Diceros bicornis minor: one gene and its partners. The protein of the gene in region 3 interacts with the protein of the main gene of each other region in a pairwise test. Links are inferred from orthologs where the notes say so. Each region holds a gene or a part of one and is shown on either strand. Other genes may lie near its edges.

Evidence for each region.
Region 1: the proteins of LDOC1 (region 3) and FOSL1 interact in binary tests that used the Homo sapiens proteins (3 or more experiments, as listed by UniProt). The two-hybrid records come from large-scale screens. The link is inferred for Diceros bicornis minor from reciprocal best matches to the Homo sapiens genes LDOC1 and FOSL1.
Region 2: the proteins of LDOC1 (region 3) and NRIP1 interact in binary tests that used the Homo sapiens proteins (3 or more experiments, as listed by UniProt). The two-hybrid records come from large-scale screens. The link is inferred for Diceros bicornis minor from reciprocal best matches to the Homo sapiens genes LDOC1 and NRIP1.
Region 4: the proteins of LDOC1 (region 3) and ZGPAT interact in binary tests that used the Homo sapiens proteins (3 or more experiments, as listed by UniProt). The two-hybrid records come from large-scale screens. The link is inferred for Diceros bicornis minor from reciprocal best matches to the Homo sapiens genes LDOC1 and ZGPAT.

The regions. Positions count from the first base shown.
Region 1 is NC_080770.1:7,381,762-7,389,029, forward strand, and holds the start of FOSL1 (fos-related antigen 1), read left to right. Parts: upstream 1-4,251; 5' UTR 4,252-4,459; coding exon 4,460-4,549; intron 4,550-4,806; exon of another isoform or gene 4,807-5,223; intron 5,224-6,517; coding exon 6,518-6,715; intron 6,716-7,268.
Region 2 is NC_080766.1:17,395,410-17,403,201, forward strand, and holds the start of NRIP1 (nuclear receptor-interacting protein 1), read right to left. Parts: upstream 3,002-7,792; 5' UTR 2,704-3,001; intron 2,163-2,703; exon of another isoform or gene 1,891-2,162; intron 1,873-1,890; exon of another isoform or gene 1,225-1,872; intron 1-1,224. UniProt on the Homo sapiens protein: Modulates transcriptional activation by steroid receptors such as NR3C1, NR3C2 and ESR1. Also modulates transcriptional repression by nuclear hormone receptors.
Region 3 is NC_080781.1:128,281,376-128,288,933, reverse strand, and holds LDOC1 (protein LDOC1), read right to left. Parts: upstream 2,886-7,558; 5' UTR 2,753-2,885; coding exon 2,318-2,752; 3' UTR 1,776-2,317; intron 1,673-1,775; 3' UTR 503-1,672; downstream 1-502. UniProt on the Homo sapiens protein: May have an important role in the development and/or progression of some cancers.
Region 4 is NC_080758.1:499,959-507,970, forward strand, and holds the start of ZGPAT (zinc finger CCCH-type with G patch domain-containing protein), read right to left. Parts: upstream 3,016-8,012; 5' UTR 2,870-3,015; intron 2,614-2,869; 5' UTR 2,465-2,613; coding exon 1,911-2,464; intron 1-1,910. Other genes in the region: ARFRP1 (ADP-ribosylation factor-related protein 1), read left to right, coding at 3,464-3,719, 3,953-4,040, 4,263-4,345. UniProt on the Homo sapiens protein: Transcription repressor that specifically binds the 5'-GGAG[GA]A[GA]A-3' consensus sequence. Represses transcription by recruiting the chromatin multiprotein complex NuRD to target promoters.

The DNA of each region.
Region 1 (7,268 bases), on a different chromosome or scaffold from region 3:
CAGGAGAACGGAGAGAGCGATTGTGGAATATTCATGCAGTGGAATGCTACACAGCAAGAGAAAAGACCAAGTCACTGCTGCACCCAACAATGTAGATGAATCCATCAGACACGTTGAGTAAAAGAAGCCAGACCCAAAAGAGCACACTCTGCGTGGTTCCATTTATATGAAGTTCAGGAACAGGCAAGACGAATCTATGATGCTAGAAGGCAGAATAGTGGTTACCTACGGGTAGGAGGTCGTGACCAGGAGGGGGCACAAAGAGCCTTCTGAGCTGCTGGAAATGTGCTCTATCTTGATGAGGGCGGTAGGGTGGAGCATGGGTTTACATATATGTAAAAAGTCATTGAGCTGAACATGCTGGATGAGTGCACTTTACTGTACGTATGTTAAACTTCAATTTAGCCAACAACCTAAATATAAGAACCAAAATGATAAAACTATTAGAAGAAAACATAAAGGTAAATCTTCATGAGCTCGAATATGGCAATGGATTCTTAGATCTGACACTGGAAGCATGAGCAACAAAAGAAAAAATAGATAAACTGGACTTCTTAAAACCTTTTAAAACTTTATACATCAAAGGATATTATGAAGAATGTGAAAAGACAACCTACAGAAGGAGAAAATATCTGCAAATCATATATCTGGTAAGGGATTGGTAGCCAGAATATATAAAGAACTAATATAATTCAACAACAACAACAAAAGCCAAACAATCCAATTGAAAATGGGCAAAGGACTTGAATAGACATTTGTCAAAAATATATACATAAATGGCCAACAAGCACATGAAAAGATGTTCATTGATCATTAAGGAACATGATTAAGGAAATGCAAACCAAAAGACAATGAGATACCACATCACACCCTCTAGGAAAATAATAAGTGTTGGCAAGGGTGTGAAGAAATTAGAACCCTCATACACTCATATACTGCTAGCAGGAATGTAAAATGGTAACACTTTGTAAAACAGTCTGGCAGTTCCTCACAAGGTTAAACAGAGAGTTACCATATGACCCAGCTATTCTACTCTTAGGCATGTACCCAAGAAAAATGGAAACATATGTCCACATAAAAGCTTCTACACAAATGTCCATAGCAGCAAATAGCCAAAAAGTGGAAACAACACAAAGTCCATCAAATTTATGGATAAATAAATGAATCATGGTATATATATATAATAGAATATTATTCAGCCATAAAAAGGAACAAAGTATTGATACATGCTACAACATGGATGAGCTTGGAAAACATTATACTAAGTGACAGAAACAAGACACAAAAGATCACATGTTGCATGATTCCATTTATATGAAATGTCCAGAATAGGTAAATCCATAGATTAGGAAAGCAGATTAGAGGTTACCAGGGGATGGGAGGAGGGAAGAATGGGGAGTGATTACTTAATGGGTATGGGGTTTTTTTATGGGATGGTAAAAAAGTTTTGAAACTAGAGAGAAGTGGTGGTTGCACAACATTGTGAATGCACAAAATTCCATTTAAAATGGTTAATTGCATGTTGTGTGAATTTCACTCAATTTTAAAAATAAATAAACTTCAATTAAAAAGTGAATGGGAACTGAAAAGCATAAACATCACCTCCACCACTCTGGGGGCACTGACAGAACGTACTGGGTGCAAAGCACACTTGTCTATGGCCTCCTTTTGCCACCCTGCAGCCCCAAGAGCTGGGGATGCTCTGGGGGTCAGAGAGGGAAAGTGACTGAGCCAGGCTCACAGGGCTGCCAAGCGACAGAGCCAGGGTCTCTGAGACATCCCAGCCCCCAGGCTCCCGCAATCACTGTGGCCTCCTGGCCTCCCAGGGTGGGAGCTGGTGAGGTCAGGGGCCAGGAACGTTTCTGTAGCCACCAGGCGGGAGTTAGTGACTGAGGAGCTTGGAATGTGCTGCCTCTGAAAGGACCTCCTTGTGGCTCCACTGACGGTTAGAGCAGGAAGGGACTTTCAGAGTCGTGTAATCACACACACACACACACACACACACACATTGAGACCTGAGCCCCTGCTCAGTCACTGCCCAGGCTGCTTGGGGAGTAGGGCAGGGTGGTGTTTCTGGAACACGCAGATGATGCAGTCAAGGCTGACTCGTGTCAGGCCTCACATGTGCCACCACCTGGCCGCCTGTGTCACTCTGACCTGTCCAGCTTGGGCTCAGCCAAGGAGTTCAGATATCAGTTAGCGGGTGTGAGTGTGTGTGTGTGTGTGTGTGCGCGCTGCACGAGTGCCTTAGCGTGCGATCAGAGCCCCAACTGCCCCCACTCGTGGGGCTTTTTATTAACATGTGTATTTATTTTCTCTCTTTGTCACGTTCTTACTATACACTGTACTTAGCCTGTGACATTATTTTATTTCTATTCTCCAACAACCCTGAGATGTCGTTAACATTATGTCTCCATTTTACAGATGAGGAAACAGAGGCCCTGGGAGATTGTGTGCCTCATCTAGGTCACACAGCTGGTGAGCAGCCTACCCAGAATTCAAACTCAGAACCCAGACTTGTCTGATTCCAGCACGCGTGATCTTTTCCATGTGTCACACTGCCTCAAAAAATCTCCCTCTCTCTCTCACACACACACCCCTATATTTCTCATTCTGGTAAACTGCTGTTGGTTTCATTTCTTTTTAGAGAAAGACAAGCATTAAGTCAAACAAAGGCAAGGGAGAGGCTGTAACCACCCTCTGAGTGCACAGCACTTTACAGCTTACAAAGCACTTTCATATCTGTGACCTCATTCGATCCTACAGCAGCCCCATGAGGTCAGTGGGAGGCTCAATTATGCACAGTGAGCCTGGGACTCAGAGGGAAGGCAACCCACCCAGGTCACAGAGACAGAAATGGTAGCTCTGGGACTAGAAGCCCAGGGCCAACCTGGCCTTCTGGCTCTAAGTCCTGAGTGTGCCCACAGACCCCCGGCCTTGGTCCCCAGGGAAGGCCACCCAGGACCCTGCCTCCCTGAAATCTTCCTTCCCCGAGGACAAAACTGGAACTGATCAAATGGAGGCACTAACGGAAAGCAGGGAGCCCATGTCTCTTTCTGTAGTCCTGTGACGCCGGCAGCTCCTTACTCTCGCTGGGCCTTAGTTTCCTTATCTGTAGAATGGGAGGAAGAGGAGAAGAAGCTTTGGGGTGGTCCTCACAGCACTGACACTCGGCATGTGTGAAAAGGCGTCTGTGAGGGCTTGACAAATCTTGCCTGAGCCTGGGCTTGGGGCTCCCACAGCTCTGATTTGGCAACCTGCTTCAGCCACTCGCTGAGTGATTTTAGGCACTGCATTTCCACACCTCTCGGCATCAGTTTCCCCATCTGTAAAATAACGATGATGACGGCACCTACCTCCCAGGCTTGTTGGCCTTTGGTTGTTGACCTTTGGCCCTGGCCTCACATTCACACAGACCTTGGATGTAATCTCCAAACAAGACTGCTGACCACACTGCCCGGAAGGGCAGTGACAGTATTTAAAGAAGACGGCGTTTATCAGACCACAGGACACCTGTGTCCCACTGCAGGCTCTCACTGCTTACGTGAGCTCTGAATTAAAACTTGTTATAGCTCCTCAAACTATCCTGTGAGCAGCACAATTACACGGTATTGTATTTGTGCGTACCTCGAAGCATTAACTTATTCATTGTAAGCATTTAAAATATACCTCCATTTTTGTAACTCTGGTGTCACTTATTCACTTTTTAGAATACCTGAACCTTAAAACAATGCCAGTGGAAGGGCCCCACGCCACGACTGTGAGACCTTGGATGGCAGTAACATGGTTCCTGGCACGAAATAAGCACCTAGTAAATAATAATAATAATATCAATCACATTTATGATCCACTTTACGGTTTCCAGACCTCTTGCACATTCTACATTCCAGCCTTCCACGCGCGGCAGGGTGGCTATGTGATTATTTCGTCCCAGTTTACAGATGCAGAAACTGAGGCCAGACCCCAAGGAGAGGGCTCCAGGGTGCGGACCGGGAGTGGGGCTGCGGGCTCGCTGTCTGCACTCGGCGGCTGGGCGGGACGGGACAGAGGGACTGGGCGGAGCGCCCGGCTGCTCACAGGTGCGTAAATACGCAGGGGAATCCTCGGCTCCACCTGGGTGCAGCGAGGAAATTGCACCATGTATGGGCAGCTACGTCAGAGGGGGCGGGCCCACTGCTGTCGCTGGGGGACGTCAAGTCCTCCCCTTTCCCCCGAAAAGGCCGCTCCCGGACTGGAGGAGGCGTCCAGAAGTTCGGGGCGGACTGGCAAAAGGCGGCGCGTCTGGAGAGGTGGGGCCCCGAGGTGACCGGCGCCACTGCGAAACGCCCGCGCCACCCCCCCAGTCGGAGTGGTTCAGCCCGAGAACTTTTCATTCATAAAAAGAAAGGACTCCGCAAGGAGCGAGTGAGTCAGAACCCAAGCCGCCGACGCGGACCCCACGGAGCAGCCAGCCCAGGGCATGTACCGAGACTTCGGGGAACCCGGACCGAGCTCCGCCGCCGGCGGTGCGTACGGCGGCCCAGCGCAGCCCCCGGGGACGGGCCAGCAGGTGAGAGAGACCCGACGCCTGGGGCCGCGAGTGGACAGCGCCTGTGACGCTGCGGTCCGCTCCCGCGCGCTCCGGGACTGGGGCCGGCAACCGGAGTAGGGATCGGGTCTGGGGGCTGCGGCCGAGGATCCTGCCCATTCTTCGCCGTCCAGGGGCACTTTCCCCCACAGCCCGGGGGAACGCGCGCGGCGGGCGGAACAAGGATCTGCGAACGTCCCCTCTCTCCCTCGCCCCCTTTTCCCTTGCTGTGTACTTACTGTCCCTCTGTCTCTGTTACCTTCTTTCTTTCCTTCTGCCACCGCTAATATTTCGGCGCATCTGCGTCAGAGGGAGCCCCTTAGTCGGGATTAGTCCTAGCTCCGATAAGGTCCCAGGGTCTGATCCATCTCGGACTAAATTCCCGGGACCTGAGTCTGGGCTGCGGCCGAGAGGTCCCCACGCAGGAGGGAGGTGGGATCATCGGCAGGCTAGCTCCACAGACTGGGAATCCTCGGCGCTGTCCGTGATCGTCCGGTGTCTGTCTGTTTGTCCCTCTCTACTCTGTCGCCAAGTCCCTATCCCCTTCTTGGCGCAGTACAGCCTGGTGGGCTCTGGGACACGGGTTCTTGACGCTTTACAGGATGGAGCCAATAGAGATCGGGAGGTGCCGGGACGTGCGCGGGGACATGCAGCGGGCAACTCCCGCGCGCCCCCGACTCTCGGCACCGAACGGCGCCCGCTGCCGGCGGGGGGTACCCGGGAGGCTGCAGGTGCCCATTTCCTGCCGAGGGGCCGCGAGCACGTGTCGCTAGGGGAGAGAAGGAGCGGCGTCCGTTCCGCCGAGTCACGGCGGCCGAGTCACGGTGGCTGACTCACTCGGAGCGCCCCTCCCTTCCTGGCCCGGAGCGGCCCGGGCCCCGACAACCTCGGGAGCTGGAGATGCCGCCGGCGGTGCCTCGGGCCCGGAACTGGGGTCACCGGGCCACTGGGCCCACAGCGCTGGGCCAGGGACACCGCCGTCTGGACTTGCCTGGGCTTGTGAGGCTCTTCCCGGACTACTGGGCGCCCACACCCAGGATCCAGCCCCGGGGCTTGAACCCAGGGGCAGGTAATCCTTGGAGCGCATACAATGCAGCCAGGCGTCCTGCTGGGCGGTTTCCATCTCATTTACTGGATTTCACCGAATCTAAGACCTCTTTGGTTAAAAAGCCCACCATTGTTTTGTACCACTAAATTTTTTTACAGTTACAATTAACCTGTGATTTCAGAGCTACTAAGGAGTATTTCTTGGCATCAATGAAGTGCTGTAATCCTCATCTATGATAATATTAGAAACGAGGAAACTGAGGCACGTTGATGTTAAATAACCTGCCCAGAGTCACCGCCAGTAAGTGGCTGAGCTAAAATTAGAACTGGGACAGCTTGAACCCAGAGCAATGGCTCTCGCCCACCACAGCCCTTGTGCACTGGGCATCTGCCACTTCCCAGGCTCTGTCACATACATTCTCTCTCCTGTTTCTCACAGCCACCCTCAGGGTTAGGAGCTGTAATGCTCTGTGCAGATGGGACTCAGGCAGGGTGCAGGAGTGGGTGAGAGCCCGGCTGCCTGTGGCACAAACCCCGCTTTCCATTTACTGGCTGTGTGTCCATGGACAACTGTTTTCCTGTCTGACAACGATGATACTGTTGTGCAAATTATATGAGTCAGTATTTGTAAAGTGGTTGGGACAGTGCCTGGAATTGACACTCTGTAAGTATTAGCTCTGATGGGGAAATGGAGGCACAGAGTGGTTATGTGACCTGCGCAAAGTCACACAGCTCATGAGCAGGGATTTGTCACCCAGTCAGGCTGACTGCCAAACTGGGCTCTTTCAGGTCTCTCAGAACCAGCAGCTGCCTTGAGGGTGGACGGCAGTGTGGCTTCTGTCCACTGGAAGCCCCTCCATCCACACAGAACTCATCCCTGGCCCTCCATTTCTTATCCCTCAGAAGTTCCACTTCGTGCCAAGCATCAACGCTGTGAGTGGCAGCCAGGAGCTCCAGTGGATGGTGCAGCCTCACTTCCTGGGACCCAGCAGCTACCCCAGGCCTCTGGCCTACCCCCAGTACAGCCCCCCACAGCCCCGGCCAGGAGTCATCCGGGCCCTGGGGCCACCTCCAGGCGTGCGTCGCCGGCCCAGTGAACAGGTAGGGAGCAGGGGTGTTGCACTGGTTCTGATGCCCACAGGGTTGCAGAAGAGAAGCTCGTGCCCAAAAGGAGAACACAGGCTTGGGGGGGAGGGGTAAGGTGGGGCCACTGGTGACTATTGGCCAAGGCAGAAAGTGATAGGAGACCCCAGGGGAGACCCAGGGGGCAAAGAGGTCACTTCTAGATCAGGGAAGCATATTAGGTGGAGGCATATTAGCCTAGAAGGATGGGTAGCAGTTACATAGATAGAGATGAAGGAAATGACATTCCAGTTAGAGGAGATAGCAGGAGGAAGAATGGAGGTGGGGGTGAGAATGTGTAAGGTGTACATGCGGAAAGGTGTGTGGGCAGCAGAAGATCTCCACCTGCTGACGTGTGGAGAGGGTGGTCTTATGCTGTCTGTATAGCTGGAGAGAGAACAGAGAGGAGAGAGTTCCCTTCAGCCGCTCGCTGCGTCTCAGTTTCCCTATCTCATTTAATCCTCATAAAAACTCTCTGGGGAATGTACTCTCGTTTTCCCCAGTTTACAGCCAAGGAAATGAAGGCACAGAG
Region 2 (7,792 bases), on a different chromosome or scaffold from region 3:
GCAAGAAGTGAGTCCAACTAAGTCAAGTCTTTCCAAAGGCACTAAACCTGGTTTTCAACGACCTCAAAGGCACTGTAGAGAACTCCTTTGAGTAAAACCAACAATAAGCAGTCGTCTTCTTTTTTTTTTTTTTTCCAAATATATCTATTACTCACACTCCTAGAGCACTTTCAGGGCTAAGTATGGAAAGAGGTCTTTCCCCACCAGAATGTATGAAACAGACTAACAACCCTACAGCCTGTAGGGTAGCAGCTGTTCCACTGACTGACTCTTCTTTGTCTCTAGGAACTAATTCCAGGCAGAGAGAAGTTACCATCCCTGATGAAGCCACTACTCTCTGAATCAGTTAAACCCACTCGACATGACCAAACCGCTGGGCAAAACCAGAGCAACTAACTTCGAAGTTGAAAAACATTTCAACAGGCTCAAGGCAGCAACCCACACTTGGGTGCCAGGCAGATGAAGCACCGTTTATTTTAAAAGGTCCACTTATTTCAGTGTCTCTTCAACAAAGGTGGCAAACTGGTGATTAAACATTGAATAATTACATCAGGAAGATGCCACCCACTTGCTAAACCTATGATTCACTAATAAGCAGGTTCTATGCGATTCATAAATTTAAAGAATGATTTACCAAAGCCCTTTGCTTCACAAATTCCCCCCCGAAACGTAAAGAGCATTCATCATATATAAACCGACAACCATTTTCACTTTGGAAGACTACAGACGGTCTCTCTTCCTCTCAAGACAGTCCCCCCCCACACGCAATCTCACATTTAATCATTTACATTACCAGAGACAGACTCCACCTCAGTTCCACCAACTGAGTGAAAAGTCCTTGTAGCTAGGAACGTCTTAATTGTTTTTCCAAATAAAATGTCCTTTTAAAAACGCAAAAGTACTCATCATGCTGGTCTTTTACTATCTTCAGCACCCAATTAAATCACCAACGAGATAAAAGGTAGAAACTCCCGGAATGCTTCAGAGATCAACATGTGTCACGGACTCCCAGCTTGTTCGCCTCTAAGACACAGTTGATTCCTTTGTTCCTTCAGACTGAACACCAACTCTTGATTAAAATTTGGAAACTACTTTGGAAAGGATGGGAGGGTTTGCAGAATCTTTCCAGGGAAACCCTTCGTAAAACAATATCCACTAATAGTAAGAAGGATACAGAAGTAAGAGGAGAGAAAAGAAGCCTCCCAGGACCTCCACGGGACTCACCCGAAACGTGAGGCGGGTTTCTGGCTCAGGGGTAAAGTGATGGTTGAGGCCTCGGGTCCTGGGAGCCTCGCCCTCGGAGGGGAAGGACAAGTACCGACGGCCCGGGCCTGGGGGTCTGGGGTGGGCAGCGCGGCCCCTTTCCCTATTCACTTTTCCTGGCCCCGAGTCCGGCGAGCACGGCGCAGGGAGGCACTCGGGCGAGAGGCGGGGAGCTGCGCCCGGCGCCGCCCAGGACGCCCCGGGCAGCAGGAGCGAGAGCTGCGCGGCGAGCAGCGCCCGGGACTCGGGGCCCAGGGGCAGCCGAGCGGGGCGCGCCCCCGGCCCGGCCACCCGTGCCCAGCCGGCTCAGGGGACACGCCGCTCGGCACAGGGGCGGCACGGACGGGCCGGTGAGCCCGCGGCTAACTCCACAACTTGGCCGCCCCGCTGGCCGGGCCCCCGAGTTCCCGGGGAGATTCGGCCCCGGCTGGAGAGGCGCGATCTCCCCGGAAACGGTTCCTCCCGGCCGCCGAGGCCACCCCGCCGTCCGCGATCGCTCCCGCCGCCCCGACGCCCCCGCGGCCCTGCCCGCCAACGCCAGCGCCGCCGCGGGCCGCGCTCCGGGCCGTTTCCGGCGGCGCCGCCGCGGCCGCTCCCCGGAGCCCCCCGGCCGCGGCCGCCACTCACCCGAGGCCGCCGCGGCTCCGAGCCCCGGGCTCCGCGAGGCTCCCTCCGCGAAGGCGCCGCGCCGCCCCGTCCTCCCTCGGCGCCCCGGCCGGCTCTCCCCGCGCGCAGCAGCGCTGCCGGGCGCAGCGGCGGACGCAAGGCCACGGGCGGGCGCGCGCGGGCGGGCGCGGGGCCGGCTCGTCCCTCCGCCGCGGCCGCCGCCTCCTCCGCCGCCGCCGCCGCCTCCCGAGTTCGGGGCTCTGCTGCAATGTCTGCGAGGCTGACTTTGAGCGCCTCGCTCGCCGCCTGCCCGCAGCCGCGCTCCTCCCTCCGCCGCCGAGGCCGCCGCGGCCCAGTCCCTCCCCTCGCCGCTCCACGCCATTCAGCTGTTCAGCCAAGTTTCTTAACCCTTTTTTTCCCCTCCCGCCCATTGTCACCCGGGCCGCAGGCAGCCGCTCGGGGCCGGGCAGCTCGCGGGAGCTGAGCGGTCCCCTCGGTTTTGTGCTTATCCTCCTTGCCCGCCCTCCGGAGGGCCGGCGGGGGCTGCCGGGCCCCGGGCAGCGGAGGATCGCGTGGGCCGGGAGAGGTGGGGGCCCCTCGCGCCCGAGCCGGCCCCCTCCGCTCCGGCTCTGTCCAGCCGCCCCCGAAGCGCCTGGACAGCTCCTCCCGGAGGCCCGGGGCATCGTTCTGGCCACACGGGCCAAAGGCTCCTCTCGGGGACACAGCCTGGGGGCCGGGACGCCCCGGGTCCCCGCCTGGGTGCTGCCCTCCTCCCATGTCACCCCACACCACGCGCCCCTGGGCTCCCTCCCACCCACCCCCAATTTCCACCACCTTGTGATCTGTGTGTCCTGCTTTAATCCTGGGGGGCACAGGCACTAACTTCAGGTCACTCTGACTCCACGCCCAGCACGTAGTAGGCACCCAGGAATGAATGTGGAGTGACTCCAGAGGCAAACTGGGCAGGAGACCTGAGGAGTGCCCGGGGCAGCTCCTTGGACGGACGTAGGACCCAGGAGCAGGGTTTATCGTCAGCTGCTTTGTCACTGCGAAGTCACCAGCGGAGTCTGTCAGCGAATCTACATCATCCCTGGGAAGAATTTGACCCTACAAGACGAGGCAAAAAGAACAGGGCTGCCACTTCTTCGGCAGCTCTCTTCAGTTCAGTCTCCAGATAAGAAATAACAATTACATCACGAGGCCAGGGAGGCAGCGCTGTGGAGCCTCTCGGTTTCCTGCAGCCGAATCTCGCTGAACCCGCGTCTTAATTGGGGGGGACATGGATTGGTGAAGCAAGAGAGTGGAGGGAGGAGAGAGTCAGACGAAAAAGAATTTCCCCCTTCTCTTTGTATTTGCTGTTTTAAAATCTTATCCTCAACGCTGCCCAAACATCTAACTAGAACTATTAACACCCCTTCAACACCTCCCCAGATGTCAGGTTTCTTTTTGACTCCAGCGTCTAGCGTTTAGTAACTCGCCATGAAAAAATTACCAGGGGAAATGAGTGCCGTTGCTGAAATTGTTTTTGCTCGATATGAGAATGCTCAAGTACAGCTTAGCCTCACCCTAAACTCCGAAATGGTATGCCTGTGTTAAAACACTTATTACACAAAACAAATGAGTGGATGAGGCACTCCATTCTTATATGTAGGTTTTCATAGCCTTAAGAATTCGATAGCATTTGAAAATAGAGTTGCTAGTGCACTTAAAAAAAAAAAAAAAAAACCTATCCAAGTCATAAAACAGTATTCTATGCTTGTTATGTAATGGCTATCTTGTGCACTTAAAATTTCGTTTAACCTTTAAAAATATGAAGGAGAGTTTTGGAATACCTTCATAGTCTTAAAAGTGAAAGCCTTTTTTCAAATTAATGCTTAATAAATCTAGCACCTAGCACAGTCCTGGGCACATGGTAGGAATATTTTGCTTAATGATGATGGTGCATTTTAGAACAATTATTTTACATCACCCTAGTAATTCAACTGTGTGATCTGTTGCCATCTTATATAGTTTAAACTTCATGCGATGGCTTATTATTTGCATATACCACAGTTTGAAATCTGCTTAAGGCAACTTAGTAAAGTCTGCTGTTCTATATTGCATCATTTATCCAATATTGGATAAATGAGAGAACTGTTCCAGTTAGGTGATGATCAGCATAATTGGAGTATGGCCCTTTACGCAGTCAAACTTCTTTTTTAAAAAACTATTTTTGACTGTTACATGAAGATTTTCTAAAATGTATTATACATGTTTCTGTTTTCTTAAGTAGTTTATTGGACTTCGTTTGGCTTTTTCTTGAAAAGTCAGGGTTAATTTTATTAAAAGTATTTGTTGTTGTAGGTTGTAGTGGATTCAACAAATGCATCGACTTCCTGTTCTCTATCAGGCTTCTTCCTAGGTGTTAGGGACGCGCCCAGGAGGTATATAAGCCATCAATTGCTGCACTGATGGATTCCAGGATACTATGGCTTAGTGATTATCTCTGCCTTTTGTAGTTTCTCTCTCTCCCCCTTCACTAGCTGACAATCTGTTGTCCTTCCTCTGTTGCCAGCTTGCTTGCTTCTAATATTCTCCTCCTCCTCTGATTGGCAGCTTCTAGTCTGGTGCAGACTGGGAATGGGAATCCAGATAGCCTCACTTGTCACAATTCAGTCTAATGTAAGGGATTGATGTGCTCACCAAGGAGTAAGGCACATGAACCTTAATGCATAGATTTTGGGACCGATATTTGGACTACTCAAATGTTGCTTTGAAAAGCATTCTTTTTACTTCTTAACTGGGTTTGGATCATTGAGGTTGATAGATAACCTCCTGAAAAGTGAGGTACACAGTTAACCCAGCAAGCTGAGTATTGGTCCTACTCTCCAACACTAGTGTTAACAAGTCCACTGCCGTATGTTAGATGACTTAACAAAGCTGCTCACCTCTTATTATTAATCTATCTTCTCAACCCCACGGAAAGCCAATTGTTAAAATCCTGAACTCTTTTTGATAGTGCATTAGTGTTGAGTAAATTGCACACCTTTTGTAGAATTCATTTTTACTTAATGATGCTAATTGTGTTGGGGCTATTTTGTTGTTGTTCATTGTTTTTAAAAAATCAATACCTAAACTTCCTGGCTAAGAGAGTCATTGCAAGGATACTGGGGCATGTATGTAATATAAGAATGCCTATTAAGTAATTTGTATTTTGTACACAACTCCCGCTTTAACCAATTGTGATGCGAAAAAAGATGCCCTTCAGGTTATAAAGTTAAACGAAAGTATTTTTATAAAGCCAGAGTCCCTATGGGATCAGAGACTTATAGTTCAGGCTCAATATGTTTATCCACCACAAAGATGTAGTCTGAGAAAGGTATGCTTATGGTGTGCTCCCTGAATCTCTCCCATTATAGCATTTTTCCACTGGGTGTTTACTTGTCTGTATCCCACTCTAAATGCAAGCACTACAGACACAGAATCCATGTCCCTCTGGTTTGCATTTGGGTACCTCCACCGCCTACCCCTGTGCTCAGCAAACAGTAGGCATTTGGAGGATATCAGGCAAGATACTGTCATAGCGCAGAGGACAGAGTGTTTATTTCTACTTAGGGTGTGGGTGTGGGATGAGGGAGTTCAGAGAAAATTTTACAGGGAAAATAATGTCTCAGCTGGCTATTAAAAGGTAAGAAGAATTTGCCAAGTAGGCAAAGTGGGAATGGAGTTCTAATGGAAGGAAAAAGACTGTTTAGCAGTAAAGAGGTGTGAAGAAAACAAAAATGTACATTGAGAAGTATCAAACCCACATTATACACTATGAACTAGTGACTAATGAATTACGACAGCTGACAAAAATATATTCAGGTGGAACACCAGTGTAGTTATGCTGTTACAGTCCCTTAGTCTCGAGAGAAGTGCTGTCCAATAAAAATATATAAAGCGAGCCACAAACGTGAGCTACATATGTGCTTTTAAATTTTCTAGTAGCCACATTTAAAAAATAAAAAGAAACGGGTAAAATTAATTGTTATAATATACTTTCTTTAACCCAATATATCAAAATGTTATCATTTCAATGTGTACATAACATAAAAATTATTTATTAGATATTTTACATTCTTTTATTCACACTAAGTTTTCAAACTTCAGTGTGGTTTTACACTCATTGCACATAGATCTGGACTAGTCAAATTCAGATGCTCAATGCCCACGTGTGGCTAATGGCTGCCATATTGGACAGCACAGCTCAAGAGGACAGACGAAATCTTTTATAGTATAGTTAAAGGAGATTTTCTTACATTGAAAATCTAAATCTTGTTAAATTTAAGATTTTATTTGTGTTGATTACTTGTGTTTAGCTATACTATGTTGATATAGACCACTTTCTTGTGTCTCGGCTTTTATGCCAATTAGAGAATCAGCAAAGTTTACATTTTATGTACTGTGTCTTCATTAACCACACTGTAGTTACAGCTACTCCTATCTCTATTAACTCTGGTGGTGGACTGTAAACATAAACCGGCTTTATGGCGGAAATACAACACTATAAATTTGGAGTTGAATAAGCTTCAAGAAAGTCTTCCCTGGAACACCGAACTACCTCTATGCTAGTTACTGTCAAGCTTCTTCCTGGCTCTAGCAGCCCAGGGTTTTGCTCTTCAATTCTTCCATGCCCAGTTACTTGTGGACTATAAAATCCACCCCAGCCTTTGTTTGAGGCAGTACCTGCCTGAAGCTGCAGTGATAAGGATGTGCTGCAGCTCCCTGAGTACTGAGGAAGGTCTCAAGAGCTAAAATGAAGATGTTTAGACACCGTGTCTGCCGGTTACTGTGCAGTTTTCCCTAATGAGATTGGAGCCCTTTTACTTTCAATGGGGCTTGAGTGCCAAGGACTGACAAAACCAGGGCACTCAATTGCTACACTAAAATGAATCCTGAAAACTGGATCTTAAAGAAAAAGTCTGAAAATGATTGCATACACACAGCTGAAAGTGTGCAAGAAAAAGGCAATACTTCAGTGAAATGCAAATGTGGACGATGCCTTCTCATTCCCCAAAGAAAGAAATGTCCAGTATAGTTAGGGGGTCCAAAAAGCCAAGAAATCCCAACGAGGCTAAGGAGAACCTGTCAGTTTGGTGATGGGTCAGTTTAATATGTCTATACAATTGAAAGTAAATATTACATGGAATCCTATCCTTTTATGTAGAAATGGGTTATGTGGCTCTCACTAAGCAGTCCTTTCATAAATGAATATAAAATTTCTTTTTGTGATTTCACAAGCATACACCCCTATAAGAAATCAATTGGATAAAATATGATCCTATTAATTTTTAGAGATTTTATTCAGATAACCTTCAACTAAAGCAAAGCATATATCTGTTTTTCCAAATTATTCAGGGTTCTGTAGGGAAGTAAGCTATAAAGAAAACATGATGTATGTTTACCATTTGTGCAATTGTTTGAACCTCAAAAGAAATAGACATAGACTCTGACCCTGACATATCTGTTTTATATTTGTTTAGTTTAAGAAACATAAAATTCTTATATACTTTATCTTTTCACAAAACCGAACTAAAATTACCTTCACCCTCAAATACACACACACACACACACTCACACATACATACTCCTAAGATTTCACACAATTCAATGGGGAAAAAATAGTCTTTTCAGCAAATGGTGCTGGGGCAATTGATTATCCACATGGAAGAGAATGAAATTTGACCCCTTATTTGTACCATACACAAAAATTAACTCAAAATGGATCATAGACCTAAATGTAAGAACTAAACTATAAAACTCTTAGAAGGAAATATAGCAATGAATCTTCATGATCTTGGTTAGGCAAAGCCTTCTTAGATATGACACCAAAATCACAAGTGACAAAAGGAAAAAGAGGTATATTGGACTTAAATTAAAATTTTTTGTTTCAATGGACACT
Region 3 (7,558 bases):
TATCTAGCTTTCAGCTCTTCCTCACCACATTCCCACATCCATCTCGTTTGGGCCTCAACCTCCTTTGCTAAGTAATATCCACCCCTGTCCCTACTCTCCAGAAACAACTTTCCCAGACCTGAGAAATGACTCCTGCCCCGGACTTTGCCTATTACCAAGTAAACTGGCTTTCTATCTGAGTTCACGTCAGATCCCAAAGAGTAAATGAGGTCTTGTCATGCTCTCATTTCCACTCTCCCTCAGCCTGCTCTGCTCCTCTTCACCCCTGACATTTTCCTACTAAAGCTAAGCTCATAGCAAGAGACCTGCCTCCCAAGCAAGACTTCAGTTCCCAGGGCTGGGAGTAATAGCCCATGTCTACTGAGTGCTCACCATATAGCAGAGACAGTTCTAAATACCTTATGGACGTGATCTGTGAGGTGACCAGTATGATGACTAGTATCTCATTTAATCCACAGTGAGGTTTACCAGTACAAATAAAAGAATACCCAGCCTCAAAAGGTCTTAAACAATAAAGAAATTTATTGTCTAAATTAGAGGTCGTAAGGTAGGGCTGCCTCCAGGCATGGTACAATGAGGACATTAGCAGATATAGATGAGAATGAAAACTCTGAACTCCTCAAATCCTCCTGAACGTGCCTGGCTGGCAGAGGGAGCCCCCACAAATCCCCCAACCAAGCTTCTCTGATTTAACATTTCAATGACTTAACCTGGAGTAATGGCCTCACAGAGGTATGCGCATTATTCTCAGCACCCACCCCACTCTCTCAATGCCTCTGAGCCCTCTTGGGCCACAGAGATCTCAGCATAGCCCAGATAGCAGTACAAGGTCTAGTTCAGGAGATAGCCAGGCATAGTGCCAACTTCCATAGGCAGGAACCTGGGGCATATGTATGGGTGCGGATTCTAAGGGTGTCTTCCCAAGGAGGATGAAATGTTAAGATTCTATTTATTACCGGTGCACTTACCAAGGAACCAGGATTTAATTTTAGCTCGAGCCTGAAAGGGGCATTAAAACAATGTGCTACGTTGTTAACTGCAGCCTGAACTTAAAAGTACTCCACAGGCAATAAGAATTAAGGCACAGAACCTCCCTGGCAGTGTTAAGGAAGGAACCCAAAGGCTCAGGAAGATAGGAATATTGTATGTGTCCAGATTTATGCCTGTTGTCCCAGTCTAATTATTAATAGTGTCACTTTCACTCTCAAAAGTGTCCCAGTTTGGGATGGTGTGCCACCTGCTCAGTCACCCCTTACCCATGTCACCCAGGAGGCTCCAGAGAACACTCCCTTCGCCAGGGCTTTAAGAAATGCCTTGGTGAGGGGAGCACCAGAATCCCAATAAAGTCCTGTGGTAGATGTCCTCTGTAGCCTAGAGATGACAGTGGGGAATACTGGCATTGAACTAACTTCCCTGATCTCAGTGGGAACAATGGGAGTCAGAGTGAGAGAGGTAGTGGCCAATGATGGCATTTAACCATTAAAAGACACTCCTTTCTTTTTTGAGTAGTGCTTGATATTTATTGAAAAGAACAAGTGCTTTTTCCAGGTAGTATTGAGGAGCTGGGCCGAGTGCCTGTTCTTGTTTGTTTTTAGTATTTTTGTCCAAATGCACACATCTGTGGGACTGCTGCAATTTTGGAAAAAAAATAACAGCTGTGCAAAACGGGTGCCTAGGAGAAAAGAAATGTCAACAATTTGGCTGCCAGGCACACTAGGCCCCTGCAGCAATTTGGTGGGGCAAGGGAGGACTCTGGGAGCAGGTAGGGAACTAACCAGGCTGCAAGACTGGCCCTTTAAAGGTTGGTGAGCTGTACAAATCATTGTCCGAGGAGGTGTAGCCAACTCAGGCATCTTCTAGGTTGACTCTTATCTCCAAAGGTGGTGGTCTGTCACTGGAATGTGATGGACGACGGTGAAGTGGCAGCTTTAAGTCTCTGGGCAGATGTAGGCCTGGCAGTTTGGCAGGGCTGTGCGCAGTCTGACCAGTTTGTAACAGGGTCCTGCCCTAAAGCTGGGGCTCAGGACACAGTCCAAATTAGCAGCGGAGGGTCCTGGGGCTGGCCAGACTGGGTGGCGGCGCGCTTCAGAGCGAGGCCCCAGCTCCAGCAGCAGGTAACTGGAGCACTCACTATTCCTGGAACAAAGACAAGCACTACGAGGGAGGCGGGGGATGAGGAAGAGAATGGGAGGGCAGGGGTAGGAAAGGGGATAGGAGGGCGAGGGGGAGCGCGGCGGCTCCGGACAGGGCAGGAGGGCGCGCGGGGGAGGGGAGCGGCGTGCAGGGCCCTCCCACCTAGGCCCGAGGGTCTCGGGGCCTAGTAATCATCATCTTCGTCGTCGTCTTCTTCATCGTCATCCCAGCCAAAACACTGTTTCATCTCATCGAGGAAGGCCCGGTAATCACCTAGGATGGGGCTATCCATCTCAATGTACGGCACCACCCACTCCTCGGCTTCCCCGGTGAGCAGGCTGATTAGGAATGCCACCTTCATGGCGTCGTTGCAGAATCGGTTCTCGTTGACAAGCATGTAAGACGCCGTCTGCACGATAAACTCAGGGAGCCGGGAGCTCTCGCCGTTAAACGTTTCAGGGAAGGGCACCGGGCAACTCGGCGGACGTACCTGGCGCAGCAGGGTGGCCCTCTCGCACACCAGCAGCCGCAGCTGTTCCATGAGCTGGCTGTTCTCGATGCTCAGGGCGCGGTGCCGCATCAGGAGCGCGTGCAGCAGCAGCACCAGCTCGTCCACCATGGCGAACGGCTTGGAAGGGCAAGGCTGAGCTCGGCTCGGTTCGGCTCGGCTAAGGTGCGCACAGAGGCCTCGCAGGAAGTGCGTGTCCGCGGAGGAGCGCGGTGGCCAGGGACGGAGGGCAGTGCGCGCAGGAGACCCGGCGGCTGCGCAAGCTCCGCCCACAAAGCCGCACGGTCGGCCGGCGCGCCGCCGCGGCCCGGGGGAGGTGAGGGGGCGTGGCCAGGGAAGCTGCCGGCGCGGCGTGGGGGCGTAGCCAGGGTGGGGCAGGCGGGGCCGCGGAGACGTGACCGGGGGGGCGGGGCCAGGGAAGCGGCGGGCAGGGTCTCGGGGCGGGTCATGGTTCTCAAGGCCCGCGGATAAAGGCAAGGGACCCCGACCGAGCCCTGGATGTGGGTGCGGCGTTCGTTAGCCTGGACCGCGGGCGCGCTAAGACCTGTGTCAGAGCGGGCCAACCTGCGTAAGTTTAAAGGATTAACCACCGTTCAACCCAGCCGACTCACACAATACAGTGTTCCTTGCCGGGTCTGTGGCCAGTACATTTCATTTACGTGAAGTTTTGTTAACACATTTCCTTGCTTATTTAAATCTCGTTCACCCAGAGAGCTGTTAAGCACTGCTGGCCGCACCGCGGGAGTCACACATCCTTTCAGAGTTATGAAAGACCGTCAGAGGTCCTGTCTTTCATGAGAAAACAATATTTAAACAGGAATTTGACTTTAGTTGGGAAATAATATTGTATACCTCTATCCTTTTTTAGAAATGTGTCTAAATAACGAAATATAAATAGTTCTTTAAAATCATCCGATAACTATTTGCAGGCATCCTGCCTATCTTTGATTCTCTATTTCATGTCCTAGTATTAGTGTCCCTTGGCCACTGGGTATTATTCTTTGCTTAACAATGAAGACTTGTGTTTTTAAATGGTTTTGTGTTTCTACTTCCTGATTATTCAAATAGTTGTTGACAACTGAGTTGGATCCAGGACCCTAGAGCCAACATAATCTGTTGGCTCTGCTTTTAAAATATGTCCCCAATTCAATCACTTCTTGTCACTTCTACCACTACCTCCCTGATCCCAGCCTTCCTTTCTCACCCAGACTGCTGCAACTAATCACTTAACTTTCACTCTTCCCTTCCCGCAGTGTGTGTGTGTGTGTGTGTGTGTGTGTGTGTGTATATATATTCTCCACAGAGTAGGCATAGTAATCCTTTAGAACAAAAGTTAGATCTCTTCACTGCCTTGCTCAAAATCCTCCAACAGTTTTCCTCTCTTGCTCAAAATAAAAAGCAAAATCTTGGTTATGGCATATAAGGCCCTGCCTCATCTCCTAGGCCTCTTCCTGTTCCCTGCTCTGTTCCAATCACATTGTCCTTGTGGGAGATCAAGATTTGGCCATCCTGAAATATATCTCTTTACCTTGATTGTTTTCTCTGAGGGACATTTGACCTCCCCACTAACTGCCTAAAGAATTTGACATAGTGGCTCCTTCCTGGAACAGATCTATCATGATGGCTGTAAAGATAATGTAGGATAGAGGTTACAATAGAAAAGGCACCAACAAGCCCATCTTATCAGAAGTTCTGTCTCTCTGGCCACATTCTCTGGATGGCCCTGCTAGGAGTTGCCAGACAATCATTTACATTTATAAGGGAAATCTCCATTTGTAAGGGTATCTCCCTCTCTGTTTTGGGAAGAGGGGGGATGACCTCATTTCTAGAGGCTTATCAATGTGGAAGGTGAGGCCTTAAATCTGCATAATAACCTTACTCTTGTTTACTGTGCTTTAGTGGTAATCTCCTGTAACTGACTCCCCCCACCCCCACATCCTCCTTTGTCGTTGGCTGAACATGGTATTTAAGACGAGAATTTCTGCTATTGTGTTGAGAAACGCAGTGTCCCTGCTTTCTCCCATGTATACATGTTATTAAACTTGGTATTATTTTCTCCTGCTAACCTGTCTTGTTAATTATTTGGCCAGCCATAAGAACCTTAACGAAAAGGGCAGAGGGGGATTCTCCCTCTTCCCCCACATCCTCCTTGCTGATTCTCATACATTTCAAGTAGCTCTGGCCTCAGGAACTTTGCACTTTCTACCCTTTCTGTCTTACAAAGCTCCCTCCCCAGTTAGCTGCCTAACTCCTTCTCGCACTGTTTTCAGAGAGGACTTTCCTGACCACCTCATCTATCAGAGCACCCGGTTATCTGCCAGTAGTCTCTAACCCCTTACCCTGCTTCATTTCTCTACATAGCATGTATCATGCTGGGAGCCATCATATATAGCACTGTGTTTGTCAGTCTGCCTCCACTTGAGAATGTAAGTCAATGTGGACAGAGACTTTACTTTGTTAGCTGCTCTATCCCTGATGTCTAGAAAAGTGTCTGGCCCAGAGTAGAAGCACCATAAATGTTTGGTTTATGAAAGAATCTCAGAGTGCAGATGTTCAAATAAAAATTAGAAATGGTAGCTGCATAAAGTGTCCAAAAATATTCTTCAAATTGTCCAATATGTTCTATCTCTGATCATGAATCAGTCTCCATTGTGAAACGATGAGTGATGTAACAAAAATGGCAAAATAAATTTTTTTTAAAACCCTATTCTGGGCTGGCCCCATGGCTTAGCGGTTAAGTGCACATGCTCCGCTACTGGCGGCCCGGTTCAGATCCCGGGCGCGCACCGACGCACCGCTTCTCCGGCCATGCCGAGGCCACGTGCCACATACAGCAACTAGAAGGATGTGCAACTATGACATACAACTATCTACTGGGGCTTTGGGGGAAAAAAGGAGGAGGATTGGCAATAGATGTTAGCTCAGAACCGGTCTTCCTCAGCAAAAAGAGGAGGATTAGAATGGATGTTAGCTCAGGGCTGGTCTTCCTCACACACACACAAAAAAAACCCTATTCAGTCCTTTTACAATAGAATTGAATGGGCACCCATGGAAGTGAGAGGCTGAGAGAGAGGAGGGAAACAGGGCCAAGACCAAGTAAGGAGAGGAGGAGGGATCACACTGCTCAGAGGGTGTGCAGGGAAAAGAGCAGGTAGGGGGGAATATGAGCCCGTGGACTTTCCAGTGATATGAGCTTCCCCCATTAGATGAGAAGCCCCTTGAGGCCACGCAGGGACACTCTCTCGTTCATCCTTTCATCTTCAGCATCAGAAAGTGTTTATAGGTGTTCCATAAATGTTCAGTGGATGGAATGACGGTACAGGAAATGTCAGAGGTAGGTTTCTGGCCATCCTGCCCATTCAAAGCTCAGGGTGGAGGGTAGACCTGCCTGGCACAGCGGTCAGTGTCCAGCTCCACTTTCCATGTCTAGACCCTAATACAGGAAGAGATGCCCAGGGTTCTACTCCCAGGAGCACACATCCTGTGGCAGGCACTGGATTTGGTGATTGACATGGGCTGCCTCATTGACCCTCCCACAGAACATGCATGAGGATGAGCACTCTAGGAGCCTGAGACCCAGGAGTTAAAGACTTGCCTAAACCCAGGAGAGCAATACTACAATATGTTGGTGGTGCAGTACCACAGTCTCAGCTTCTCTGATGGCACATGCACTTCCACTGAACAACTATTATGCACTGGACTTCCGTGAATCAGGAAGATCTAGTGGGGACCCAGAGATGGTTAGGCCCATGGTGCCCTAGTCCTCTTCCTACAATCCCATGACAGGGGGAGTCAGGGAGGAAACCATAGGAAGCAACCGCTAGCATCACCTCTCAGGGGGTTCTGAGTTCCTAAAAAACAAGAAATGCCCTGGCCAGAACTGTGTACAGAGCTGAGCAGTGACTTTGGGAGGCACTTCCAAACTTGGAGGGAGGGAGGAGAGACAGAGGGACGAGAGACTCACGGGGAAGCAGTTGGGAAGAGGTGAGTAGTATGACTAAAGTATATACAGTGGTCCCCCCTTATCCGCAGATTCGCTTTCCGCGGTTTCAGTTACCCACAGTCAACCGCCATCTGGAAGCAGATGATCTTCCTTCTGCTGTATTGCCTAACACTACGTTACAATGCCTACGACATTCACCTCACCTCATCTCATCAGGTAAGCATTTTATCATCTCACATCATCACAAGAGGAAGAAGGGTGAGTACAGTACAATAAGATATTTTGAGAGAGAGAGAAACCACATTCACATGATTTTTATTACAGTATATTATTATAATTGCTCTATTTTATTATTAGTTATTGTTGTTAATCTCTTACTGTGCCTTATAAATTCAACTTTATCGTAGGTATGTATGTATAGGAAAAAACATAGTATATGTAAGGTTCAGTACAATCCACAGTTTCAGGCATCTACTGGGGGTCCTGGAAAGTATCCCCCATGGATAAGGGGAGACTACTGTAGAACTGTACTGTCCACATTAGCCAGCTTCCCGGTGCCCATGAGGCTCTCCCACCAATGTCAATGCCTGCCAGCGCTTCCTTCACCCTTGCTTCTCCATTCACCCTGCTTAGGGCTGCACGTCATCTTCCTTACTTTCCCTTACACCCGTGTAAGACGCTGCGGGCAGAGGCAGATGGCTCTGCATGACTTATCTCAGGCTCAGAAACTTCATCAGGACAGCTTTGGCACAGAATGTCCCAAGGGTGGTTTGAACCCCACTATTTGGCAAGAGCATGGGCCCAAAGCCAATGGAGTGATACCTGATGCTTATTGCTTCCACCATCTTCCATGCTTCAAACCCTGACCTGGTATACACCTAGCAGTCAGACTGTAAAATTCCTCTGAAATAAACATGAAAACGTCGGCCCCTTGATTCTTCAGTCTCCAGAGGAATGTGTACAAATTGGGTAAA
Region 4 (8,012 bases), on a different chromosome or scaffold from region 3:
TATCCGATTTTATTTTACAATAACAACGTAAGAACTAAAAATCTACTGTGTGCTTAACTGTATGTTAGGTATTGCTCTACACTCTTGACACATATTAACGCACTCCATTCTCCCAACAACTGTGAAAGATGATTCTCATCTCTGTTTTACAGATAAGGAGACTGAAATATAGAGATTAAGTTACAACAAATATATGAAAAGAAACTCAATCTCGCCAGTAATCAAGGAAATACAAATTCAGTCAAGACACCATTTTCCCAGCTTTCAATAGGCACAAATCTGCAAGTCGGATAATGTCACTGCAGGTGACTGTGGAGAAGACTAGGGACTAGGAAACATACATCACATGAAAACAGAAAATTTGCACACACTCTCCACGCTGGCTACACACTAGGGAAATTCTCGTCAGTTACAAAAGAAGACAGTATTAGGATGTTCACAGCACACTGTAACAAATAAAAATTGGAAAACATCAGAAAGGGACAGAGTGAGTAAAATGTGGTATATTCACATGAAAGAAGATAACACAGCAGTGAAAATGAATGAAACAGTTCTATAAACATCAACCCGGCGGTCTCTCACAAACACGCTTAGCGGAAACAGCAAGGTGCAGGACGAACTGCCGTATGACACCACTTAGACAACAAAGCACAGACATGTACCACTTACAGACACACGTATGCCTGTAAAGAACTAACACACGCTAGAGAGATACACACCCAAGTGTGACAATGACAGCCTCCCGGGACAGAGAGGGGACTGCAGCAGAGAGTGGTCAAAGAGTGCTTCAACATTGTCTATTTTATTGTATTTTTAAAAATCTAAACCAAATGCAAGTAAATAACTTAGCAGTGCTGAGTAATGCGAGGTGGGTGTGTGTAGGATGTGTCGGTGGGGCCTAAAGCTGACAGCGCAAATCACGGCGAGTGGGGATGTCTCAGAGCCAGACTGCTGGGGCCCCAGCTCCGCCCCTCGGAACCATGCACCCTGAGTGGTGGCAGGCCACCTCGTGGGGACACTAGACACAGTCCATACTGTGACACTCGAGGAAAGTGCCTGTCCCAGAGGAAGCAGCACATGGACATGCCAGCTCTCACCACCACAGGGGACATCACATGTGGACGTGCCCCCCAGAGACTAGGGAAAAAAGGATAGAAACATTACGTCTCTTACTTAACATGTGTACTGGGGACAGGCTGTGTCTCCTCTGAAAGCTCTCCAAGTCCCCTCATGATCTACGTGCTAACCTGTATGTGTGCTGTTCTTTAATAAAACTTACAAAGAAAGAAGGAAGGAAGGGAGACGTACCAGATAAGACTTGGGACCCTGCAAAAGTCTATAAGGAAATAACACGACCAAAGAGCTAGAGACAGTTACCCTGGACTATTGGCTAAAAAAGAGAATTATCTACTAGAAATTTCAGTCAATATTCCTTCTCAAGACAAAGCACGAAGGAGCAAAATCAAAGTCGCGCCCTGAGAAAAAGAAGACACCGTCACAGGGGCCGTGGAAACGTCAGCAGGGACGGGGCACTGCGGTTCCCTCTGTCGGGCGCAACGGCGACACGGAGATGACCTTTTTATGACGTCCTTGTCAGTTAGATTAGGGGTGCATTCTTAACTATTTATAGGTGAAAAAACTAGCAACTTCCAGAATTCGCTTTAAAGTAGTCCAAGGAAAAAAAACCAAGGCAGGAGGACAGACGGGAGGAGACGGCCGGCAAGGACGGCGCGGGCGGCCGCGCTCCCTAACCTCGCGCGGGCGAGTTTCCACGACGGACGGACACTGCAGAGGTCTCACCGCGAAGAAGGTGCCTCCTTCCCGACTGACCCGAGGGAACCCAGGGAGACACAGACCACAGACCAGGACACGCCGCGAGCCCGCCCGCCCGCCCGCCGGCCCGCGCTCACCTGCAGCTCTCCTGGAAGCGGCACTTGCCCTCCAGGAAGAACGGGCAGGGCTTCAGGGCGCGGTGCGTGGGGTAGAGATAGAGCACGCGCACGCCCGCGCAGCCGCCGGCCGCCGCCTCCGCGCCCACCACCATGGCGTGGTGGTACTCCAGGGTGCCCCAGGGGCTGCGGTAGGGCGCGCTCACCTTCCGCCCGCTCAGCCCGCCGGCCTCCCCGCCGGCCTCCTCCGGCCCGGCCTCTCTCTCGGGGACAGGCTCCGATTCTGCCCCCGGGGCTCCCGGCGCCTCCACGGCCTCGGCCACCGCCGTCTGGAAGGCCAGGTACTCGGCCTCGTCCCGGGCCGCGTGCTCGCCGTCCAGCGCGGCCAGCAGCTTGCTCTTCCTGACGGACACCAGGCTGGCCTCCGTGAGCGCGATCAGCTCCTTGAGGTCCTGCTGCAGCTGGCGCAGGTCGGCCAGCTCGGAGGCGTCCAGGCCGGCGCGCAGGGCCCGCTCCACCTGCCGCAGCTGCGCGCCGTGGGCCTGCAGGGCGGCCTGCAGGCTGTCCTCGTCCATCCCGGGGGCGCCCGGTCCTCGGGGGGCGGCTCGGTCGTCGGGGGAGGCGGCCCGGGACCTCGGGGGATGGCTTGGTCCTCGGGGGATGGCTTGGTCCTTGGGGGTCGGCCCGGATCCTGGGGGTCGGCCCGGATCCTCCGGAGGCGGCGCTGCGGGGAGAGAAGCCGGTGAGCCGGCGGAGCTTGAGCCGACGGGCGCGGGGCCCCCAGGCCACCCTCAGGGCCGCCCGCGGTCCCGCCGCAGGGACGAGAAGACAGGCGGGGAACGGCTCTCGGCTCCAAGCGGAAGAGCCACAGCCGGAGCCCGGCCGCGGCCCCACGCCGCGTCTGCCCGCCCGGGGCGCCGCCGCCGGGCTCCCTCGGTCCTCCGCGCCCCCGCCAGGCCATAGAGAGCCCGCCGCCTCACCGGCTAGAGCGGCCCGGCGTCCCGCTTCCGCCCTCGCCGCCAACGCGCACTTCCTGCCGAGCGCGGCCGCCACCGGAAGTGCCTGCGTGGGGGCTGCCGGGACAGCAGGCCCGTGTCCCGTCGGGCGCCGCGCGGGGTCAGCGGTCCGCGGGCTCAGGCGCGGCGGCCGGCGGGCGTAGGTAGACGGGCAGGTTCTTCGCCTCCCGGGCGGGTCCGAGGTCGCGGCGAGGACCGGCGGCCGATCCGGAGCAGCTCTCGGCGGCCGGCCGGCGGGCCCCGAAGGCCGGTGTCCGGTCGGGGCGTCGGGAGGCGGGGCCCCGGGCGGGGCGGCTTGTCCCCATCTGCCCGCCCCAGGCCGCCCCCTACACGCACCCGGCTCCCGGAGGCGGGCGTCCGGGGTTCCCGCTGTTTCCCGGGCTCCGGCCGGGCGGGCAGGGGTGGCTCGTCCTTGCGGGCCGGAGTGGGAGCGCCCGGGGGGCTCGGGAGGGCGTGGGGCCTTGACCGGCCTGAGGCTCGGGGAGCGGAGGGAGGCCCGGCGGTGACTGGGGAGGAGGAGCGCCCTGGGGCGAGGACACCAGCCGGCGGTCCGGAGGGATGGAGAGAGTTACGGGGAAGAGGGCAGAGTGGGGAGACCGAAGAGGGACGGGCGGCGGGAGGAGTCGGGAGTGCTCCGGACCAGATCTGGGCTGTCAGCAGGCAGGGCAGGCGGGCGCCGGTCGGAGCGTCGTGACTGGTCTCTCGCGGTGCCCAGGGCAGGATGTACACGCTGCTGTCGGGCCTGTACAAGTACATGTTTCAGAAGGACGAGTACTGCATCCTGATCTTGGGTCTGGACAATGCCGGGAAGACGGTGCGTGCTTGCGCTCCCTCTCCGTTTGGTTTGTGCCTTTACTAGTATGCCCACCACCTGGACAGAATCCAAACCCCATTTAAGGCCGCGGGATGGTCACCACAAGCTGCTTTAAAAGCAAAACGTTGTTGTGTTTTGTTTTGTTTTAAAGGAATGGGTTAAGGAAAGACATTAGCAAAACAGACTTGAAAACATCTCTAGTCCTTATCTAATGCCTCTTTCCTGCTCCGCAGACCTTTCTGGAGCAGTCAAAAACCCGGTTCAACAAGAACTACAAGGGGATGAGTCTATCCAAAATCACCACCACCGTGGGTCTAAACAGTAAGGGGATCCCTTAGGGCTGTGGGTTTGGGGGGCAGACCCCTCAGGATGCTGTGACGTCCTCAGGCCAGTAGGCAGGCAGCAGAGCCTTGTGTGTGAGGCCTCTGCTCCAGCTCTGTCGGCTGGTCCTCGAGGAGCACCAGAGTGGCCTCTGCCCCCGGAGAGCTGGGAGATGGTGTGTCAGGGACCAAGGCCACAGCCTTGCCTGTTTTCTTCTCCCAGTTGGCACTGTGGATGTGGGAAAGGCTCGCCTCCTGTTCTGGGACTTAGGGGGGCAGGAAGAGCTGCAGTCTCTGTGGGACAAGGTAAGATAGATGCCGCGTACCGCCTGCCCCTTGTGCCATTTCTGCCCAGGTGGCACCCCTGGGCTTTTTCCTCTCCTCAGAAAGCCTCAGGCTCACCTTCCTTCCCTCCTGTCAGCAGCCGCCATCACCCACTTTGTTCCTGAGCACCCCCCCAGTCCTATCCCAGTTCCCGCACTCCTCCCCCAGCAGTGAGGACACACTTGGTTCATTTTGGCTTAGAGATTGTCGTTGCTACTCACCCCAGGACGAGACAAAAGATGGCCAAGAAACAGATGTAGGGAAGGCACCACACCTGCAGTACTCGGCCCCACCAGCAGGGCCTGCGTCTCCCCCGCTGGGTCCCTCTCCTTCAATCCTAGCTTAGGACCTGTACTCCGTGGTGGTCTCTTCCCCATCCGGGAGGATGTCCTCAGAGACCCACAGCAACTGCATCCTCTTTTGATATAAGTTTCGGGCATTTCTGAGACCCCAGTGTGGTGCTCCTCCCCCCAAACCTCAAGACTGGAGTCTGTCTCCAGCTCAGCCTGTGCCCAACACTGGGGTCTAGCGGTGAATGGGACAGACCTAGCTCCTTCCCTAGGCAGCCCTGTCCCAATGGATTGGCATGGTGGGTTTGGTGCAGACATGCCCGCCCCAGTACTTGTTGGTTGCCTATGTGTTTAGAACTGAGTGCCTTGGTTCTCATTTCTGGTTTGACTCTAGCAGTAGGTACCCAGTCACCTTTTCCAAAGCATTTTCTCTTGCTCTGATTTCTAGCCAAGAGAGCAGCTTCCATTCTGTTGCCAAAAGGTGACTGACAGGCTCCCTGTGGCCATTTAAGTTGGACTGAGGAAGAGCCAAGCCTACTGTCCGAACCCCAGACCCGTGTGGGGAGTGAAACAGATTCCACCATTGTGTCACAGGCAAGGGTCTCAAGAGCAGGTGCTGAGACGGAGGTTGGGGTGCAGGGTTCGTGTTGGTGACCAGCACCTGGGAAGGGAGCCAAGAGGACATGGGACTAGGCAGGGGGAGGGGTCAGCTCGGGTGCTGGGGCCAGAGGGACTGTGGCTGGCCCAGTGGGGAGCCCTGGAGGAAAACTGCTCACAGCTGCCCACTGTCAGGCCAAGCTGGCTGGGACTCCATACTGCCTGGGGGGTCACCATGGTGGGCTGCCCTGGGCAGCTGTGATCTGGTAAGGAGGCTCTCTGTGGATCAAAGTGGGTCCTGCAGGAGCCAAGTAGAGACAGATCACTGGGTACACTGCCTGCCACTGGGCAGCAAGGCTGCAGCAGGTGGCAGGTTCTTGTGTTGGCCACCACCCACTGTGCTACGCTTGCATCCATGCCCTTGCCTTGGGGAGCAGTTCCTCCAAGATTGGGGCTTCCTCCTGAGGGGAAGCTGGAAGAGGGAGGAGAGGGACAAGCCACACCACAGGCCAGCTTTGCAGCTGGTTGTGGCCCCCTGCACTGCTACTTCTGCCTGTGCCATGGTTTCATCATGAGGGGCTGAGCCCTGACTGCTGAGGTCGCCTTCTCTGGTGGTCCCCTGGGTTCCTCATGTGCTCTCTGGCTTGCTGTGGAGTGGGCGCCCCACCTCCTGCTGATGGGGTCAGTTACCTCCTGCCAGAGAGGGGTCTCCGCTGGGCCCTGGACACGGGTTGTCCAGTGTGCCCAGGAGGCAGCCAGGGGTTGTGACTCAGCAGGTCTCCTGCCATGCACCTGGTGAGCGTGCTGACCACACCCCCAGCCCTGTAGAGCCCAGAGCTGGGAAGGAGCAGTGGAGTCCCCTGTGGGTCACTGGGGGGATGGGAAGTGGAGTTCTTACTCCCCTCCCCGTTCCCCGATGCTGCGTCCTGGGCCCTGGCCCCCATGTGGTCCAGCACCGCAGCACTGTATTGGGCCAGTCGAGTCATTTTGTCCCCGGCAGATGTCTGGTGGACCTTCACTCCCCATGTCCACTGCTCCATGTCTGCCCTAGACCTTCATCTAGGCTGTGTGCTGCTGCCTATGGGTCTGTGTGCATGCTAGCCTTGGGCCGCGTCTGCCCACACAAGCGGGACCAGGGGGACCACTGGCGCTCTGCCGCGGGGAGGACTTCTGTTCTGTTCCTCTAGGCCACACCTAAGAGACCTTTGGTGTGGGCCCACCCAGAAGCCAAGCTTGAGCCCTTCCCTCTTTCTGCTGGTTGTGTGGGATCCCCCCACGTGGCCACACGTGATGCAGCCATCAGGGTCTGGAGCGTGGCGAGTGCTGTGGGGCCAGAGCAGCCTGCTGTGCCCCTGGGCTTGTTCACACTGAGCCCCAGGTGTGCTCTCCTGTCGCTGCCACCACTGCTGGATCATCACCTGACATCCACTGGGTATGGTGGCAGCTCCAGCATCCGTCTGCCAGGGCCCAGCTGCATGCCAGAAGTCCTCTGCCACTCCCTGGGGCCCCAGGGGCTGCCTGGTGATTGTCTCACTGGGCTTGCTGCCACGGAGACCTCCGCTGTAGGGCCTGCCAGCTCCCTGTGTCAGCCCCAAGACGGCCAGCCCACTGTCCTCACCTTGCCTAGTATGTAGGCTGGAGAAGTTTTTGTGTGCGGGACTGATGGCCTGCAGGACCCAGGAGGGCTGCGTTGGGTTTCTCTTTTGTAGCAAATGCATATACAAGAGCTTGTCTTGTGCTGGGGTCGGGGTAGCCTGCTCACTATACCCTAAGAATTGTCCAGAGCTGCCAGGCCTGGGTCTCCCCGGGTGTCTCCCACCCCCTGGAACACATGCATCACCAGGGCCTTCAGCTCGCTGACCGCTGGCTAGTCCTGCCCAGCTAGTGGAACGGCCTTGCCGTAGGAGTCAATGTGGATGTTCCAGGTCCCTGGGGTCTTGTGACAGGCAGGAGAGCTGGGGCAGAGTGGCGAAGGTGCTCCTGAATGCGGGTGCTTCCGGTGGTCTGATTAGGATAGAGGGTGGACTCGCCAGACCTGTGGCTGCATCCCTCATGCCCCGCGCCCAGTGGGTCTGTCCCTCATATGTCCCCACTTTGTGTATCTATCTTTTCTGAGGGGTGCTATGTTCCATTTTGTCCCCTAGCTGTCCCCAGGCTCTGGTGGTTAACTGTTGTAGGGGATCCTGTGACACTTGCTGTCAGCAAGCCCAGGGCTGACTGCCCTCCTGGCACCAGTCTGGCCTGCAGAGCTCTGAGCTTAGTGATGCTGGTTTGGTCTTTGGCCCTGCCATTCTGTGTAGGGGCCAGAGCTGCTGCTGGTGTGGAGCTGGCCTCAGCCCTCAGTGGTCTTTCCAGGGCTTGTCAGTGACACACTTGCCAGGCTTGCTGTCTGTGCCAGCACAAGTCCCCATCAGTGCATTCTCTCCAACTCCAGGTCTGCAGAGGGATGGGCTTGGTCTGGGCTCCTCCAGCCCCCAAGCCCCATCTTTCCTTTCTGGCCACCAGCAGGCGGTGGTCATGGGTGGTTCTCAGGAGCAGACGCTGAAGTGGGGTTGGTGTGCGGCAGCGGGAAGTGGGGGGGAGGTGGCCACTCCCCACCCGAGGTCAGCAAGCCCTTCCTGACGGGGTGTGGGGGCGCATCTCCACTCCACCCACCTTCCCACCCTCAGAAGGGTCTTCTAGTCAGGAGTGCCCCTGAGGCGGCTGAGTGCCCATGGCTCAGCACCCCCTCTCTGCCCTCCCCAGTACTACGCAGAGTGCCA